4 linked regions of the Drosophila melanogaster genome follow. The protein of the gene in region 1 interacts with the protein of each later gene in a pairwise test. Each region holds a gene or a part of one and is shown in the gene's direction. Other genes may lie near its edges.

The links.
Region 2: the proteins of CG18766 (region 1) and CG7115 interact in a two-hybrid assay, tested with the Drosophila melanogaster proteins (one large-scale study listed by BioGRID).
Region 3: the proteins of CG18766 (region 1) and CG15651 interact in a two-hybrid assay, tested with the Drosophila melanogaster proteins (one large-scale study listed by BioGRID).
Region 4: the proteins of CG18766 (region 1) and Vti1b interact in a two-hybrid assay, tested with the Drosophila melanogaster proteins (one large-scale study listed by BioGRID).

The regions. Positions count from the first base shown.
Region 1 is NT_033777.3:27,241,789-27,246,784, reverse strand, and holds CG18766 (uncharacterized protein), read left to right. Parts: upstream 1-1,535; 5' UTR 1,536-1,595; exon of another isoform or gene 1,596-1,768; intron 1,769-1,966; exon of another isoform or gene 1,967-2,139; intron 2,140-2,840; 5' UTR 2,841-2,956; coding exon 2,957-2,962; intron 2,963-3,021; coding exon 3,022-3,338; intron 3,339-3,409; coding exon 3,410-3,532; intron 3,533-3,594; coding exon 3,595-4,075; 3' UTR 4,076-4,450; downstream 4,451-4,996. Other genes in the region: CG17991 (uncharacterized protein), read right to left, coding at 4,569-4,996.
Region 2 is NT_033779.5:7,819,785-7,825,905, forward strand, and holds CG7115 (uncharacterized protein), read left to right. Parts: upstream 1-1,750; 5' UTR 1,751-2,272; intron 2,273-2,857; 5' UTR 2,858-2,939; coding exon 2,940-3,316; intron 3,317-3,667; coding exon 3,668-4,244; intron 4,245-4,303; coding exon 4,304-4,567; intron 4,568-4,643; coding exon 4,644-4,696; intron 4,697-4,795; coding exon 4,796-5,099; 3' UTR 5,100-5,566; downstream 5,567-6,121. Other genes in the region: LanB1, read left to right, coding at 1-606; Rack1 (receptor of activated protein kinase C 1), read right to left, coding at 5,917-6,121.
Region 3 is NT_033778.4:20,983,314-20,988,414, reverse strand, and holds CG15651 (uncharacterized protein), read left to right. Parts: upstream 1-1,914; 5' UTR 1,915-2,212; coding exon 2,213-2,950; intron 2,951-3,009; coding exon 3,010-3,126; intron 3,127-3,183; coding exon 3,184-4,047; 3' UTR 4,048-4,577; downstream 4,578-5,101. Other genes in the region: CG3216 (uncharacterized protein), read left to right, coding at 1-303, 362-686, 748-1,582; CG9313 (uncharacterized protein), read right to left, coding at 4,616-4,802, 4,873-5,101.
Region 4 is NT_033777.3:18,397,729-18,400,850, forward strand, and holds Vti1b (vesicle transport through interaction with t-SNAREs 1b), read left to right. Parts: upstream 1-1,980; 5' UTR 1,981-2,063; coding exon 2,064-2,222; intron 2,223-2,282; coding exon 2,283-2,492; 3' UTR 2,493-2,611; downstream 2,612-3,122. Other genes in the region: Wdr37 (WD repeat domain 37), read right to left, coding at 3,099-3,122.

The DNA.
Region 1 (4,996 bases):
TCAATGGAATCCTGCGCAGCTTCTCCGGGCGATTTCGCCCCACCTAATGATGATTGCCGATGATAGCGTTATGGGTGCTCCTTGCTGCTCTTTTCCCGCCACTAATGACGTTCGCATTTGGGAGCTGATGCTCTCGGCGCCTCACAACCTAATGATGATGACCGGCGAATATGGAGAATGTGGGTAAGCTGAGTATGAGGGGGCAAATATGTAGTAGTAATGCGTACACTTGAGGTTAGTGCAATAGTCACAAGTTTGGAAAATAGTGAAATATACTTAAGTAAAAGTAATAATACATTTTAAACACTAGCATGCATTTACCATTAAAAATATATTTTAGCTAATGATTCATTAAAATAAATTCACTAAAATAACAGTTATATAAGAGAGGTGCCATCTTAAAATTATATTAAAAATGTTGCACAATAAATTAAGATAAGTATTGTACTATACATATAATAGTTTAATATGATTTGATTTTAAGGGTAACTATTAAGCTGACCATTATTGTTTATAGAAATGATAAAAGGTGGGGGCTGCACGATGATGTTGTAGCTATTAAAATGTCAAGTTCTTGAAGATGATGACATATTCATTTTGTATTCCTAAACAATCTGTACTTAGTAACAAAAGAAAAAGATACATATTTGCAATATAGAAATTTGTAAACACTGAAGAACATAATTGTTTATAATAATATATTTAGGGAGAATGAAAATAGATTGATATTCAACTAAAACCTATTTGAAAGTAAAAATATGTGTCAATAACTAGAAATTTACGTAATATATTTTTCAAAATACAAATAAACAACATTAGTTTGTATGTCTATTATTAATTATCTCAAAGTTTACTATTTATATAGTTGGCTAGGTTCGTAGATTTTTGAATATTTGGTGACCTTGTTATTGGGATTTCGCTTCCCCCAATTTCTTCTTCCTCTGCCTTGCCCCACCCCCATCGCCTATCGCCCCGCCCCGCCAGCACTTTTTCATCGAGACGATGTGCAATTTAATGATGATTACCCCACAAGCAAAGCCAACTGACGACGACTTTGTGGCAGCAGCGACATTATCATTTTTTGTTATTTAGCCCGCTAATGACGTTTGCTTTTGTTGTTGTTGTTGTTGCTCCATCGCACAACCTAATGATGATGATGATGACCGGCACATACGTGTCGGTGTGACTGTGCCAGTGTGTGTGTGCATTATGCTCCAAGAAAAGCGATTTGTTGAAGGGAGGCGGGAGTAGGTGGTGGTGATGATGATGATGAGCGATGAAATGCGCTTGCTTTGTTGCGCCCTAACGAGCCGAGATTGAAGTAAAAGTACTGTATTGAGCACGATAAATGGCAGATGACTTGGTTCTATTGGCCTAAAGCCGCAATAAACATTTTCAATTTCCCACCTTTTGGCGCTGTTCGAAACCCCAACGCACTGCACTGGCGACTGTCTGGCAACGCCATGTCACACTAGCCGCACCGCTCACACCATGTTGCTCTTGCCATGCCATGCTGTCTCGCTCACGCCGAGAACATCATTATAGAGTCGAATTGCGAGAGCTGCGCAGCGTAGGAGCTACAAACTACGTTTTTCGTGTGTTTCCCTCTTGAAGATAATTAAAATTTAATTATTTGACTTATTATTAAGTTTTGTGCCCACGCTGTTGGCGTCGTAGTGTTGTTGTTTCGCCCGTTGTTGCATGGAGCAAAGCGAAAAACGTAACAATAGAACGCAATCAACGCAAGAAAATCGGATGTGGATGCGATGTGAGTGTGTGTATCTCTGAAATGGGAAAAGTGTGTGCGTGTGTGTATTCGAGAAAAGTAACCTCTCACCCCCCGCGAACTTACATATATGTACATTGGCTCCAATGCTGCTATCCCGCAGCCGCCGTCGCCGTCGACGTCGGCGGAGCATCTTCATCCGCATCTGAGCCCAACTCCCTTCTACACTTGAGTTACCGCTTCACTTCGATTCCAAACGTCGCCGCATCCACTTCTCATCTTCTGCTGCTGCCGCAGCTGCTGCATGCATATCGCAACTTGTTTCGCTCGCACAATTAATATTTGTTTACCGTTTACCGTTCGATTTGCATTGCATGCGTGTGTGTTTGTGCGGGAGCGGCTGAGCTGCGTCGGTGTGTGTGAGCCGGCTTAATGATAATTGAAAGCTAGAAAATAGACAAAGTACACCGACTAGTAAATACCCTTTAGTGCCAGAAAATGGGTTGTTAGCCAATGGGATTACGGTACAAACAACACGGAAGCGACAATAACCCATTTTAAAATCATTGGATGCCAAATTTAAAACAGTTCCTATAACATTTTGTTTCCTGTGATAAGAATTGTTAAAAATACTTGCGTTTTAAAAGTTTAAGCTGAAATTAATTAGTGAATATAAATAGAACTTCAAATTGTGCATAATTATATCGTATAGTAATTAATACCCATGACAACTAGGGAATGAGTCCTTCTAGGAGCTTAAAAATACATAAATATTTCTATGAATCCAAACTCTGCTGCAATATAATAGAATTTTATGTGTATTACAACATTATACCCTTTAATTGCCGCGAGAACTAAGTTAACTATGAAATGCAATCATTCGTAACCCTTTTTGTGGGAAGGTATTAGGCTACAAAAGATTAATTACCATTTCAATTCAATTAAATAGTCATCAAATAGGTGGCTGACCATATGTTCGGTTGTTTATTTACGTGTGGTGTGCACTTTTTAAGAAATCCCTGAAACTCATAGGGATTGCAATATTAATACGTCTAACAATACAAATAGTAAACAACGACACCTGCACGTTAACTAATCATTTGATTTATTTCAGGAGCGAATCCGTGTACAGTATGCCAGCCCACTAGATAAACCGCTTCATGTCCTCCATCAGCTGGCAGACGAAGATTGTCGGGCAATCCCATTTGTCGGCAGTAAGACCCATGTGAAATGCCTGTAAGTTGTCTTTGGAATCAGTAGCTTTATCATCAATATAATCGTATACCTATTCGCAGTATGAAAAATTCAACAAAAAGCGCCGACAATGGGAGGATAGTGGTGTTCTAGAGCTGATCAAACTATGGAAAGTCTGCGCCTATGAGCTGCGCACCATTAAACGCAATGGCCATCTGTATGTGGCAATGGCCAAGCAGCTAACCTCGCTGGGCGTCCCTGTTACCGCACTCGAGGTTCACTTTAAAGTCAACAATCTAACGCAGCGCTACCGGCAGGAGCAGAAGACCTTTGAGACCACAGGCATCATCAGCACCTGGAAGTTCTACAGTCAAGTGGATGATGTGTTTAAGAGTCTGGCCGCACACACCGGTTACAAGTTGGTTGAGATATGATAGATACTTCCCATATAGCAATCCCAAACTAACAAAATATCTTATTATTTTCCAGAGACAAACGCATGACAAGTGCGTCCAATACGAGCAGCTTACCATCCACATCCGAGTCACCAGTTTGGAAGAATCCAATGTCTCAGCAAGAGTTTAATAGTAACAACACGGAGGGGTTCTATAAGTAAGCACTAGCATTGGAACACCTTCCTCACAACATGTTTAAATAACAATTGGGATTTGCAGGACCGAGTACGGGATGCATCGGCACTTTATGGACCACTCCCAGCCACCACCCAATGCCGGCAGCGTGGACAACTTCATGGCCTCATCGGCGGCCGTGGCGGCGGTGGCTGCCGCTGCCTCAGCCCGCCTGGCGGATAACAACATGGATCAGCAAATGAACACGGCTGCCGGTGGAAGCGGTGGCAGTGGTGGTGGTGGGGGCAACACCAATGGAGGCGTGGCCAACTACCAGAAGATCAAGAAGTCGCACGAGGACTACGACAAGTTCGTGGACATTGTGAAGAACATCGTGGACACGCACAAGAGCACTCCCGATAAGGTGGACACGTTCGGCGACTTCATCAAATCGTACATGAAGCGCTGGCCGGAGCGGCTGCAGGACGAGGCCATCAACCACATCACCAACTATGTGATCGTGAAGAACATGGAGCACAGCATGGTCAGCAGCCACAATCCCGAGGGGGTGAACAACCGACAATAACAATACAAGCAGGAGCCCAACAACTGAACGAGTTGTTGGACGACGCAGCTCCAGGAACCAGGCACAGAAGCCGAACGAAGTGAGACGTTAGGCGAGGATTACTTAAGGTGGCGCGCAGTTACTTAACCGCATCTGAGTTGCGGCCAAGTTCATTGGACACACACACGGCATACAGTATTTTTTGTATAGTTAAAATATACATTGGAGTTTTAGTTCTCGACGATCGCGCCCTCGATACAGAGTTGACTTCCGTAAAGAGGGGGCTGGATCGATCAATCGTGCATAGAGATCCTAGGGAGTACATTACATTTAGACACCATTTCCTACTGTTAGCTGTAAACTATTATGCATAAATTAATAAATGCTTTAACGATTATTTATGATTGGTAGTAAGAATGCACTATTGACACGTAGTCTTAGGAAAATTGTACACTTTACAATTTAAATAGATATTCAAATTACTTCTTGCTTCTCTTGCAGATCTTGAGTTTACCTAGTGTCCGTCTGCCTCCGCTAGGTTTTCCTTCGTGTAATCCAAAACACGACGCTTCATACGACAGATGTATTGGCTATGCATGAGGTACATTTTGAGGAATCCCTTGATCGCTATGAAAGTCAATCCCCCAAGAAGAGTTTGTTGCAATCTATCGTCGACAGAGCTGTAAAGAACTCTACCCACGTACATGGATATGGTGGGCAAGAGGATGGCTCCACAGACCACCCGCGATGCTGAATATTCGGTCATTGGCGCAGAAGGGTATGGTTCGGTCTGGTGGTCATATTTCCGTCCTAGGCACATCATTGAAAGACTTCGCAGCAATGAATAACATATTCTAATGAAGCGCAACAGGGCATCTTCCCAGGGAATTAAGCGTCCAAGTATCAGAACTACCGAGATTAATGGGAATCCGACCAGAACAA
Region 2 (6,121 bases), on another chromosome or scaffold:
GATAAGATCCTGGACTCTGCCAATTCGGTCGTGGAGAGCCTGGCGGCGGCAGATGAATCCCAGGGTAAAGCCAAGGATGCCATTCAGCAGGCGAACAGTAACATTGAGTTGGCCGGTCAGGATCTGGAGAAGATCGATGAGGAAACGTATTCCGCCGAAGCTCCGGCCAATAACACAGCACAGCAGGTTGAGAAATTGGCCAAGAAAGTGCAGAAACTGCAGAATAACATAATGAAGAACGATCGGGATGCCAAGGAGATAACCAAGGAAGCGGGTAGCGTCAAACTGGAGGCCATGAGGGCTCGCGGAGAGGCCAATAATCTTCAGTCTGCCACAAGTGCCACCAATCAGACCCTCACCGATCGCGCCAGTCGCTCCGAAAATGCCAGGGAAAGGGCCAAGCAGCTGCTCCAGAGGGCCTCCAAACTAACAGTCGATACGAACGCCAAGCTAAAGGATCTGAACGATCTGCAGACCGTCTATCTGAACAAGAACCAACAACTACTGCGATTGCAGGCCGAGATCGGCCCCTTGAACAAGGAGCTCAACGAGCACCTGATTCACATCAAGGAGCGGGGGTCGCACTACAGGCAGTGCTATACGTAGATTGGGAAACGTAAGTAATGCAGTTTTAATACTATTACAAGCAAATAACTAAAATCAGTAATATTTTTTAGATCCATTTGCGTGGCCATCTAAATTGCCATATTCATGAACAAATAAGCAAATTGCGAAATACGAGAATCAAGTAAAGAACTACAAGAACAACTAGGAAGGCGACAGTTATTATGTAACCACTGTTAAGTTACCGTTACGTTTTGTACTCTAAGCGAAAACCAACACTGCAATGTTAATTTTAAAAATTGAGCGAAAGAAATCGATGCCTTCACTTTTAATGTGTACACACTGAGCTAAGTTTTTCTTATACTATCCCTATACCATTTTGTAATGCAATTAATGTAATTAAATAAAACTACTTAAATGTGGAAATGTCTAGCATTTGTTTGGGCTCGATCGGGAGAGGAATGAGATAATGGTCATTTAAATGGAGAGCGACAGGTGAGAGTATTTTTGCAACACAGTTCTATTTCCCAACAATAAATCTTTTTCGCTGAACAAATGCAACTACTTTTAAGTATAATAACAGAAATATATTATTTACAAACGTTGAATAAAACAATATTAATAACGTTGGAAATGAAGCCTAAAAGCTTAATATAGATAAAAAGTATTTAAACAGAAGTTTGTTGGAGTTCAAATATATACAAAAATTCGGCTTATGCTATTTTCACTGTACTTCGATTTCTATACTATTGTATACTTATGCTGCCATAAACATTGCCAATTTATTCCATTTTCCGTTTTGTTTTAGTTCTTCTGCGCGTCGCGTGCGGCTTGTTTTTGTTTTTAATTTTCGTCCAAATAATTTTCCACATTTTTTTTTCGGGGGCCAGAGGTTCTTTTAAAACCGGAAGTTGTTACGAATGGATCACCGTTACAGAAGATCGTTAAGGAGCTCAGCAGGTATTTAATAACAATTAAAAAATTAATAATGCAGTTGGCACAGTTGCAGAGAAGCCCACTTCAAGCACAAAGGTCAAGGTAATGCAAAAAATGCAAAAGTGCTTGAAATCATGCAATTTCTAGTTATCCCTGCCTGCTCGAAAATCACTAAAGTTTTGCATGAAAAGAGTACCCCTGCTGGCTATCGATAAGAGTTATCGCTTCGGCCCCTATCGATATTTCAAAAGTTCATCAATTTCAGCTGAAATCTCAACAAGTGCAAGTTTCGAGCTCTGTTTTAATTAAACACAGACGTGTCGCCGAACAAGTCGGCATTGTTTGGATCGGTTTTCAGGTTGCAGTGCGTGAAAATATATATATATTTTTTATTTATTTATTGCGACATCCGTGCGGCCACTCACACACACAGGCGCGATTGACAGATGTGCGACGTGCATACGTATAAAGAGCACACACTCGCACACACGCACGCAGTGCGGATGTTCTGATTTTATGCAAGAAACTGAGTTTATTTTTAAAATAAGAAGAACATCCGAAAATATAATGCCAACGAAAGGCGACGGGCGAGCGACAAAAGAGCGTTTGTAAGCGCAGAAAAAAGGGACACGGCGAAAAGGAACGGGGACGGACGATAAACCAAAATAACGGGAACATCGGCGGCGGTGGAAAATTCAGAAAATAAGAAAATCAAAACAAAAGCAAAATAAAACGACATCTGACGTGCAGCTTCAAGTGCTTTGCCCCCAGAGTACGTTTTCCCCAAATGGACTGGGTTTTTCATTTTGCGAGCAATCTGCAATCTTTCCCATTCAATTGAGGTCGCGTCGGAATCTGCATAAGTGCATAAAAAAAAATAGTAAAAATTTTAAAAATTCTGAATTCGAAACAAATAATTTCATACAGTTTTCTGAAAAGCTTTTAAAGTTGATCAATATATTGTTACCGTTAAAATTTTTATAAAAAGATATCGTTTTTATTAATAAATTAATCGCATTCATTTTAAATTATTAATCAACAGTGTAATAAACTATTTGCTATAATACTAAAACTTGCGTTCAACTACATATAAAAATAATTTAAAATTTTAACATTATAAAATGTTTTTCGAAATGATCTTAAGCAGAGTTCTTTGAAACCATAAAGTAAATAATGATCTCAGACATCGAAAAATGGGAAATTATATTACTTCCGATTCCGTCCGAGTCTGAGAGAATTTAAACGGGAAAGTCTTGCATATTAAAATGCCCAACCCCTTTGTTGTTTACTTTAATTTCGTTTTTTATTCCTTGCATATACACCCACTGACACCCACATCAACATTTACCGCTGACAGTTTCGCATGCGATTTGCTTGAAACACATTGACAGAGCCGAAATCAAGCGCCAGCAGAGTATACAGATAGCCCGGCATTTCCCATGGACGACGAACTGGAAGACAAGGTGTTCTATCAGACATACGTATCGCACATGAAAATCCTGTCCAAATTTGCGGTGGGCTTCTCGTCCATCAACTCCCCGCTGGCCTACATATGGAAGCTGTGCCGACTGTATGTCCTTCGGCCGGAGGTCATCTTCTGCGGCTTGATCCTCTTCGTCCTGTTGCTCTATTTGCAAGCGGTAGATGTGTGGAGTCGCAGCATCCTGGGACGCATCCAGGCAACCCTCGGTCGCCAGAAGGCCGTCAAGATGATGGAGCTGTCGGCCAGTGCTGGTGATCACCAGAGCTGGGAGGAGATGAAGCAGCAGAGCTCGGCCTTCGCGGTCCTGGGACGCAGGCCAAGAATGGAGGATAGGTTCGTATGAAGTCACAATTCCCAGGGATAAACTATATTGTAGATAGCACTTACATAGTAGCTGAAATATACAAAGATCTGTCACGATCGACAGCATTTTAGGATTTACAAATTGGCTAAGAGTGTTTTTATTAGATTTAAATGATCTATTGAGGAATAAATTCTTGGCAACACTCATTTTCATTCATTAAATAGCATTGCAACACTTTATAGCTATATAAATCTTTTCCATATGTCAAATTTAGACTAGATAATAATAATTTGGGTCTTTAGAAACAACTTAGTGACATCTCTATTCAAATGTACACATTCCAAGAAACTAAAGACTAAAGACTTTTATTTACATCTTAGGTTTATTATCGAGGAGAACATCAACAACAACACTGGTATCTCCTTCTTTGCCGTATTTGACGGTCATGGCGGCGAGTTTGCCGCAGACTTCGCCAAGGATGTGCTGGTGAAGAACATCTACAATAAGATCATCGAGATGTCCAAGCTTCTGAAGACGGAAGGAAATTCCGGAGATTACGATAAGAGTCCCTATTTAGCGCGCAAGCAGAGTCGCAAGGATGCAAACAAGGAGAACACAGAACCGACGGCAGGGGTGATGCGAAAGGATAGTCTAAGGAAGGCCCACAGCACCACGGCGGATTGTAGTGCTATTAAGCAAAAGACAACCGAGGCATCCATTGCCGACATCTACACAGTCCAATTAAACTCGGCGATGAGAGCCAGTGGGAATTTGGGAGCCGCCAAGGATTCCTTCCTCAACAACAACAACAACGGACAGAACGGAGCAGCCAATGCGCCACCTCCAAACTACGAAGCCAAGTGCTACATCGAACACGGACGTATTAACTTTGGTAAACTGATCACGGACGAGATCATGTCGGCCGACTACAAGCTTGTGGAGCAGGCCAAGAGAGCGGTAAGGGAACCTCTTTTTACTTAATCTTAAGAGACAATTCTAACTGATCTTAATTGCAGACCAACATTGCGGGAACCACCGCTCTAATAGCGATAGTTCAGGGCTCAAAGCTGATTGTGGCCAATGTGGGCGACTCCCGCGGAGTCATGTACGACTGGCGTGGAATCGCCATACCGCTTTCATTCGATCACAAGCCGCAGCAAGTGCGAGAACGAAAGAGAATCCACGATGCAGGCGGATTCATCGCCTTCCGAGGCGTTTGGCGTGTGGCCGGGGTGTTGGCCACGTCACGTGCTCTAGGGGACTATCCGCTTAAAGATAAGGTGGGAAAAATGGGATGGTTCCAACGAGTTACTAACGAGGCTAATCTTGACACTATTTTTAACCACACGCTTACAGAATCTGGTGATTGCTACGCCGGACATTTTGACCTTCGAACTAAACGATCACAAGTGAGTGAACAACACTTTGCAACAACAATCCAAACGACCATTTGATAGTTGTAAAGTGCATTACATTAGACCTGTATTTAATGAAATACTTTCTTATAGACCCCATTTTCTGATACTGGCATCCGATGGGCTGTGGGACACGTTCAGCAATGAGGAGGCCTGCACTTTTGCGTTGGAGCATCTGAAAGAGCCGGACTTTGGCGCCAAATCACTTGCCATGGAGTCGTATAAACGTGGCTCCGTGGACAACATCACCGTGCTGGTGATCGTCTTCAAGAACGATGTCTACAAGATTGGCAGCTCAGCGGGAAAAGCGGGAGAAGAATCCCTAAAAGTCCCAGCCAAATCTCAACCAGTTGCGCCTGCAGTTGTGCAACGCTCGAATTCAATCAAAACCAAATGAAAAACGATAGATAAGAGTGCCTGCTAAGAAATGCTCTTCAGCTTTTCTCCTAAAAATTTCCTTCTCCCCAAGAAAAACAAACGAAAGTGCCCGAATTTTTCTAGTTAGGCATTTTGCTAAATACCTTTTGACCTTTTTGTTACTTGTCCAAAGGCAGCGTTCATTCATCCCATTACAGACATGCATACACATTCATCACTCGAAAATGCGTTCATCATTTGTCTTAATATTAAGGTTGTTTGTTAGTCAATGTTGTTTTGTTTAAACAAAATATGTTTGCATCCGCCGCCACATTGCCGTGCACTCCGTTTTTCCAATTCGCACACGAAAATCATCACAGTCACTGACTCAGTCAGGGTAACATCATCACGTAACTATTTATTTAATTTATTTGTTATACGTGTAAAAGAAAACATTTTCTAAATGTCGAAATGTTTTTACGAATAAAACAATGCATACGAAACGAGAACATTTCGTTTTGCTACTTAAATTCAATTTCTAATTGTTTTTCTCAACATTATTCGTTTTGGATTTCAATGAAATGATCTGGTTTGTAGTTTAGGGATTAAAAACATCCACTTTCGATTAAAGTTTATATAAAATGTTTTCTTTATTAACATTTACTTATCTTCTGCCTAAACTAAATTGTCCCACTGTTTATACTATTCCCATCTATCCGGAGAAAACTCTATAGCCCAAAGCCTAAAGTTAAAACTAATTCAGCCGCTACAAGATACACAAATTTCAGTTAAGGACGCTTAAATTTTATTTTTGTTTTAGCTAAACAAATTTGACGCCCGTTACAAAGGTCAGTAGCTTAGTGAGCCGAAACAGACACCTGCCAGACGCGGATGGTGTTGTCGGAGTAGCCGGCGAACAGAGTCTGGCCGTCGGTGGACCAGGCCAGGGACAGGCACTGGGGCTGATCGGCCTTCGACGTGGGCGAAACGACCTCGGGGCGCAGCTCCTCAACGGTCTTCTTGCATGCCAGATCCCAGATCTTGATCGAGGGTCCGTAGGCC
Region 3 (5,101 bases), on another chromosome or scaffold:
GCGCCTGCATCGATCTGCCGCGACCCACCGTGCTCATCCTCACCGAATATTGCTCGAGGGGCAGTCTGAAGGATGTGCTGGAGAACGAGGCCATCGAGTTGGACTGGAACTTTCGCATGTCTCTCATCCACGACATTGTCAAGGGCATGAACTATCTGCACAATAGCGATGTGGCTGCCCATGGAAAGCTGAGGTCTTGCAATTGCCTGATAGACGGACGATTCGTTCTCAAGATCTCCGACTTTGGACTGAGAACGCTGACCACGCCCTCTGATTTTGTGCGGGATCAGAACTACTACCTCAGTGAGTTCCAAAGACATCAAATCAGTTTCCTTTTACTGAGTGGTGCATATTATTGCAGAGCTCTTGTGGATTGCTCCCGAACTGCTTCCACTGACCACCATACCTGGTTGCTGTCCAGCCACGCAGCGCGGCGATGTGTACTCCTTTGGCATTATTCTGGAGGAGATCGTCAACCGTGGTGGACCCTACCAGGAGGCGCGCCAGCAGATGGACGTTCACACGATCCTGCACAAGGTGCGCCAGTGCAATGGATTCCGTCCGCTCATCAGAGAACGCGAGTGTCCACCTGATCTGCTGGAGCTAATGGAGAAGTGCTGGGCAGACAATCAGGAGGAGCGGCCCACTTTCTCCACCATACGCAGTAATATTCGCACCATAATGAAGTAAGTGTCCTTGGTATCTTATCTTGGTATCTTAGTTATAAGCAATTTTAAACACCTGCAGAGGCTTCTGTGAGAATCTAATGGATGATCTACTGAATCGCATGGAGCAGTATGCCAACAATCTCGAGAGTCTCGTGGAGGAGAAAACCCGCCAGTTGAGCCTGGAAAAGCAGCGTACGGAGGAGCTGCTCTACCAAATCCTGCCGCGTCCTGTGGCCCAGCAACTGATGGCCGGCGATCTTGTGGAGCCGGAGGAGTTCAGCAGCGTGACCATATACTTTAGTGACATCGTTGGCTTCACCGAACTGTGCGCCCGTAGCAGTCCCATGGACGTGGTCAACTTCCTGAATGACTTGTATAGCACATTTGACCGAATCATTGGCTTCTACGACGTCTACAAAGTGGAAACGATTGGTGATGCCTATCTGGTGGTTTCTGGATTGCCGGAGCCCAATGGTGACAAGCATGCCCGCGAGATTGCTCTAATGGCCCTGGACATCCTACGAGCAGTCAGCTCCTTCAATCTCCGCCATAAACCGGAATACAAGATACAGATTCGCATTGGGATGCATTCGGGTTCCGTGTGCGCCGGAGTCGTGGGCAAGAAGATGCCGCACTACTGTTTGTTTGGCGACACGGTCAACACGGCGTCGAGAATGGAGAGCACTGGCCAGCCGGGCAAGATACATGTGTCCTCGGCCACCAAGGCCATCCTGGACAAGTTCGGCACCTTCCAAATGGAGCAGCGCGGCGATGTCGAGCTAAAGGGCAAGGGCACGGTCACCACCTACTGGCTGAATAGCACCTCCGAGGGCGAGGCGCGTCCTCCGACTCCGCAGATCCTGACCACCGATGAGGTGCCCTTCCCGCTGCTCTTCGCCGGCATGGGAAAGTAGTCATTCTAGTTTTGATCGCTTAAAAGTCAGTATTATTTGAAGGGTCTCACAGATGTCCCATCCACAATTTTATTCGAAAATTTAATGTTTGTGTGGAGAAAACTACAATAACTTCATTAAGCACACTTACCTGATAAACATTTTCTCAGAAAAATATTTTATACTGTATTGAATTAAAGAGAACAATCGCTTTTAATGTTTTACAAAAAAAAAAATGATTTTGTCCTTTTTGCGCGGGAAAAGCGTAGTGGAAAGCTCTTAAAAATGGCATGATATACGGTCACATATCCTGGGAGGAAGCTTTTCATCCGTTTTTCCAGCTCCGGCGCCATCAGCTGTTCGAGCTGAAAGCGCTTTTCCGCGGGGTAGGAAATCGGTATTTGCGCATAGCCGAAGAAAAAGGAATAGGCACAAAAACAAAGTTCTCGAAAAGCGGAAAATAAAAAGTTAAATGAGTCCTTCAGTCAAGCCAATTGCACATTGAGTATGAGCAACAATCATCCTTGGAAGGATGTGCTGATGAAGAACGCGGTCATGTAGTTGCAGTGTAGATACCCGGGTGGACAAACAGATACAGATACACACAACATCAGAATCTAGCGAATCGCGAGCACATCCTGCACACTCGCCATGAAGGTGTTCCGACTGCGTCTGGTCAAGCTGCTGCTGCTCGGATTTCTGCTGGCCAATCTGGTGTTTCTCTATTACACGTGGAACACGCTGCTCTGGCGGCGGATAAGTAGGGCTCTGTCCGGTGAATCTCAGCCGGCAGAGGAACCGCCAAAGGCCGCCAAGCTGTCGCCCAAGGAGAAGCTGCGCAATGCCAACAAACACATACGCAAGTCCATCACCATCGTGTTCTATGGCCACTACAACTTTGAGCAGGATCTGAAGGCATCGATCGACAGCATCCTGGACGTGATACCCAACATGCCCATCCTGGTGCTTCAGGATGGCGGTGCCGAGTACGCCTATCCGCCGGTCAACTACGAACGGAACCTAACCGCCGGCGAGGAGCGCACCGTGCTATTCCAGAGTCTGTCCTTCGATGTGCGGCGAACGCGGCAGGAGCTGAATCCCTTGGCGTCCATTCGGACCAAATACGCTCTCATCATGCCGGACGGCGTGCGGCTGAACAGCAAGAACATCCTGCAGAAGATTCTGCGCGAGATCAACTCCATGGGCCTGCCGGGTCAGCCCAAGGAGCAGCGACCTCCAGTGCCGCCGGAGCAGTTGGTGCGACGCATGGTGCTAGTACCCTTCGCCGGCAATCTGAAGTCCTTCAGCAGCTGCGTCAAGATGAACCTGGATTTGCCCGACTGGACACTGGAGCTGGTGGCAACCAACGATACGAGACGATGTGATTTGGTGGGTAAAATTCAGGGATATGGTTTATAAGTTGCAAAAATAATGTATGTTCTTAACAGTTCCTGCAGAAGCACGCAATCCTGTTGGATGCAGCTGCTCTGGCAGCCATGCCCGAGCCCTTCTCCCTGCCCTTTCCGGAAATGCTCTACATGCAGGCCAAGATAGCCAATCTCTCGGTGAGTACTTTTTTATGCTTGTTTCCCAGCACCAATAACAACTGAAATCCTGTCCAGACCACGGTGTTCCCGCAAGCCTTTCAAGAGGGACGGCGTCTATTCGCCTCCTTTCACACCAAACAGCGGAGGATGGACCTGCGCCGTCGGCAGTTCCGTGAGATGTACAAGAAACTGCAGATCAAGCGGATCGTGAGAAGGGCATACAGAGTGCCAGGAAAGGCTCAGGCCCGGGAGGTTTGGGGTCAGGGTCACGGCTTGGTCCTGGATGGTCAGTTCTCGTCCTCGAACACCTCGCTGCCCCTGATCACCGACATCGATCTGTTCGGCTGCGAGCGGACCACCAAGTCCTGCATAGGCAGTGTCTATAACGAGAGACCGTACTACTCCTACCTGGGCAAGCATACGCCACCGTGCTGCCTGGACAAGCTGAGGACGACCTTCAACCATGTGCTGGAGGAGTTCGAGAACGTGGGCATACGCTACTGGCTGGACAACCGAGCCCTGCAGAGCGCCATCGAAACCAATCACCTGTCTCCGGATGCCTACGACATCGACATTAGCTTCAATGTCCAGGACCTGGAGCGATCCAATGCGATGAAGAAGTCGCAGAGCAAGCCCTATGTGGACAACGAGGGTTTCTATTGGATTAAGGCCACCGATGGCCATCATTTCCGCGTCCAGTTCTCAAAGCCCAACCAGGTGGGCGTCAACCTACTGCCCTATTCCATCAGTGGAACGGAGGCGAAGGCCAGTGGCTTCTTCGGCTGGAAGGCCAGAAGCTTCTCGGCGGACTACCTGCATCCGATGTCCACGGTGCTCTTTCTGGGCAAGAGCGTTATGTGCCCAAACAATGTACTGGAGTATCTGGAGGAGAAGCGCATCCGGGTGAAGTCCGCCGACTTGGATGCGGATGAGGATTGAGGCAGCTTTATTTAAAAATATAGTTTTAAAAAACACAAAATGTCTGTGAAAAGGATATTTTAATTTTTTTTTGCTAAACGAAATCGTGATTATTAAGGAATTATAGGATGCAGCCAATTAAAGTAAGCTATTAGTTCAGATTCTTGATATTAATGTTGTTTTAAAATCAATATACTAAACATCCGACTGAACGAACAATCCCTACAAATTTCATTTATATGAAATATCATTTTTAAAGTACAATGTTTTCAACTAGCATTATAATGTATCCTAATCTTCTTATGATCCTAAGATCTACAAAAACTACTTAAAAACGGATTTGATCGTAGTTGTTTCTATAATTTATTTCGTTTTTAAGCATATATACAATTTTGTGACTATATATACATTGCTTCTAAGTTCCTTTTGTTGGTTGATAGCAAATTTTTGTTAGATGGATAGAAACATAGCGTAACACAAGACGGATGAATCAGGATTCTTTCAGAACCAGCAGATAATCTATATGTGTAAAATATAATACATCAACTCTGAAAACAGTGTGTTTCTGGAATTGGTTAAAAGTTGGGATTTAACTTCGCACGGTTGTGGCTGCATCGGGCACCGCAGTTGAACCTTCCGGAAGTTCCCGCACCAGGGAAAGCAGCTTCTCCAACTTGCCAATCTGGAGGGTGTTCTGGTCGAGATACAGCTGCTTCTTCGGCGGCTTCACCATCATCCGGAGATTGGGCGATAGCTTCAGCGAAGTGGTGACGCCCCTAAAGACAGAAATTGGAATATATAAATATATATTGCCTATATAGATTGAATACTTGGTATGGTGCTTACTTCTCATCGCCCACCACAATGAAGGCGAGCTTCTCGTTGAAGGATAACCTGGTGAGCTTGTTCTTTCGCTTGGGCACCACGGCCTGGATGCAGATGGCCTTGTACTTATTCACATTTAGGTCGAAAACGTGGACCTTGCCCTCGGTGGTCACCGCTGCGAAGACGGTGCTCGAGTAAGGTGCCCACTTGACATCGCCAACGGCGGCACCAAGATCGAATATGAACAGCG
Region 4 (3,122 bases), 8.8 Mb from region 1:
CGAACCAATTCAATGTGAATCCACAGTGGAGGCGATCGAGGAACAAAAACAGTCCGCACCATCATTTATTAACGCCAATTGTCAGTTCAATTCATTTTCTTCAACTGCTTCTGTGCGAAGAAACCGTTTCATTGCGTCACAAAGATGATTATGCTCATATATTATCGAACTAATGGGGGGAATTCAAAATTATATAGAGCTGTAAAACAGGAGCCAGCTAATAAATCGGCTAGTATCAACTCCTTATAAATAGCCTCTTTACGCAATACTATTGAATACAGAAAAATAAGCCATCAAAGTCAGCATTATTTGCAGTGTTTGCCGACCACTTCCCCGATAAGCCATACATATAGAGTTACGTAACTGGAGATCGGCGACTCGAGTGGCCGGGCTTTGGCTTTATATAGCTAATTAACTGGACGATCGACCAGGAGCACTTGTGTGCAACTCGGCAAAATACTATACTTCAGATGTGAAATTGCTAGATTTCTAGAATCGATCAGATTTTCCCCATTCATAAACTGGGTCTGCGACTGTGGCTAATCAGCGCAATACTGATTGATCGATTGGAAGTGCCATTGGACAATTTATAGAGCGATCCATAAATCATAATCGACTGGTATTTATTGTGCGCTATTCGCAACTACTCGAGCCCAGCTTTTAGGGTTTCCGTTCCAGCTGGAGATCTTTGTGGGGACGCAAGGCTTCTGGAAACCGAGACCCCGAGAAAAAGATCACATGATAGAACCCCCCCATATGATTATGATGATTGCATAAAACTCGAAAACTCGCGACTTTGCAAAGAGAGCGCGACTCACAGATACTCTGGAGAGTATTATATTCACATGACAAGGGTTCGACTAACACACACACACACTGCGAACGTAGTAGGTGCGTACCTGAGTATCTCAGAGATACTCGGGGCTTACGAAAGAGATAGCGCTACGCGTATCTGCCGCTCTGACTTTAGCTGCGACTTCTGGCAGGTGTTTGCACAATGGGTCCCATGACAGGTGTGCCCCGCAGCCCCCAGTAAGCTCACTTTTCCGACCAGTAGCTGTCAGCAGCCAGCATCACGTGCCAAAGTGCATTCAAATTGGGCTTAATTGCACATACTCCCTGCTGCCAAAGCACGTGCTTTGGATGGCTAGTTTACAGGGGATATGGGATATATACGGGTGGATAACCCGTGGCACAGCTTTTACACCTCGAACCCGCCGGGTTTTTCCAGTTGCTTCGAGTTTTTTCGAGTTTTTCGCTTACCTTCACAGCTCCGAAAACGCTTTTTATGTCAAAGACACACCAGATTCGATTCCCCGCGAGTGCGAGCGATAAATTTAGAACTTGTTTGTTGCCGAGCGAGAGTATCTTTATTCGAATCTGAATCTGAATGGAGCGCAGCACACGTCTGCTCACCGCCAGCGATCGACTGCGTTTAAATTTGGCACTCGCTGCCGCGACTTCGGTTCGAAAATCTCGCGATCGCCTCGAAATGCCTCGCACTCTCTGTTACTCAGCACACACACCCTGTGAATTCAGGCGGCTCTCTCGGCGCGGGCATGCCAACTATGTATGATCGGTGACCGTTATCGCAAATCAGAAATCGACAAATACCCGTACTAAAGTCAAAATCCTCGAGTGCTACATGTGTCTACCAAAAAAATGGTCAGTTTCCAAAAACCTAATCACTCTTAGGATCACCCAATTAATCACCATTAATATGTGATATTTTTGCAGTAACTAGATGTGCTTGTTGATAGTGAGGAAGCCAATCTCAAAAAAAAACCAATTGAACTAACACTTCTTACAATTTAAACTTTTAATTAGAATTTAGAATATAAAATAATATTAAGCTAATTTGGTAACAGTTTCATTTTAAATTTCAACTGTTTTAAGTGCTGTAAAGTGCATAAAGTGTTAACAGGTGGCTCCACGCACAACGCGTTAGTACCTTACCAAATAGCGTTTTCACTGCACCGCTCACCACGGCCACACTCTGCCTTTGTTTTGTTTTGATATTCCCACTGCATCGCATTTAATTTATTAAAAGCTGTTACCAAATTATGTCCTACGCCGGCTATAGCCAGCTGCCCAGCGGCAGCGACCAGGAGCGCAGGCAGGCGCAGCTCGCGGCCAGCACCTACGACGTGCTACAGCGGACGACGGACAGTATCCAGCGATCCAACCAGATTGCCATCGAAACGGAGAACATGGGGGCGGAGGTAATTACCCAGATAGTAGCCATTAACAGGGCTAACTAATGCTCGCTTACGCATCAACAGGTACTCGGCGAACTGGGCGAGCAGAGGGAGTCGCTGCTACGCACCACGCGCCGCCTGGAGGACGCCGATCAGGATCTGTCCAAATCGAGGGTCATCATTCGGAAGTTGAGCAGGGAGGTGCTCTACAACAAGATCATCCTAATCCTGATTATCATTCTGGAGGTGGGCATACTCGTCGGCTTGCTGGTGCTGAAGTTCGCTCACCTGTGAGCCAATGCCATTCTATTCCAAAGTCGTAACCACCAAACAGGCGATGGACTATATATACCTATTAATCGTTACGAATTCTTTGTCCTAGTTAATAAGCTTATAAATGTATATACTCCACTAAAATGCACTTCCAATTCAAAAAGGTCAGTTTTAGGATATACCCAGCGATGAATCGGGTGGTTGATTATGTTTATTCATGTTGGCTAAAGCGTTAATGCCTTAGACGTCTATAATATGTATTATGGTAGTAAAACACAGATAAAATCGGGTCTGGACATCGGAAGCTCTGCACTCCGAAGAGTTTAGCCCAGTCCCAACGCATATACATACGTATGCTATAACAATGATAATATGTAGTTCGTGCAGCACGCTATGCCACGACTATTTGGCAAAAAGCAACGTTAATTACATTCAGTGGGCGACAACGAGATAGTAGAACATCCTGAACAATGTCTGCATAATACTTGATCTATGATAAACGGTTACATATATGTAAGTATGTGGGCATCGCTTTGGGGATGCTTCTTTGTTCGAGAGATGTTTGGGATTTCGCAGAGCTGCGCCTCCTCATTCCTTTGGTGCAGCAGCTCTCCGCTTCAGTTGCCTTCAATTGTCCTTCGGAAGAACGAT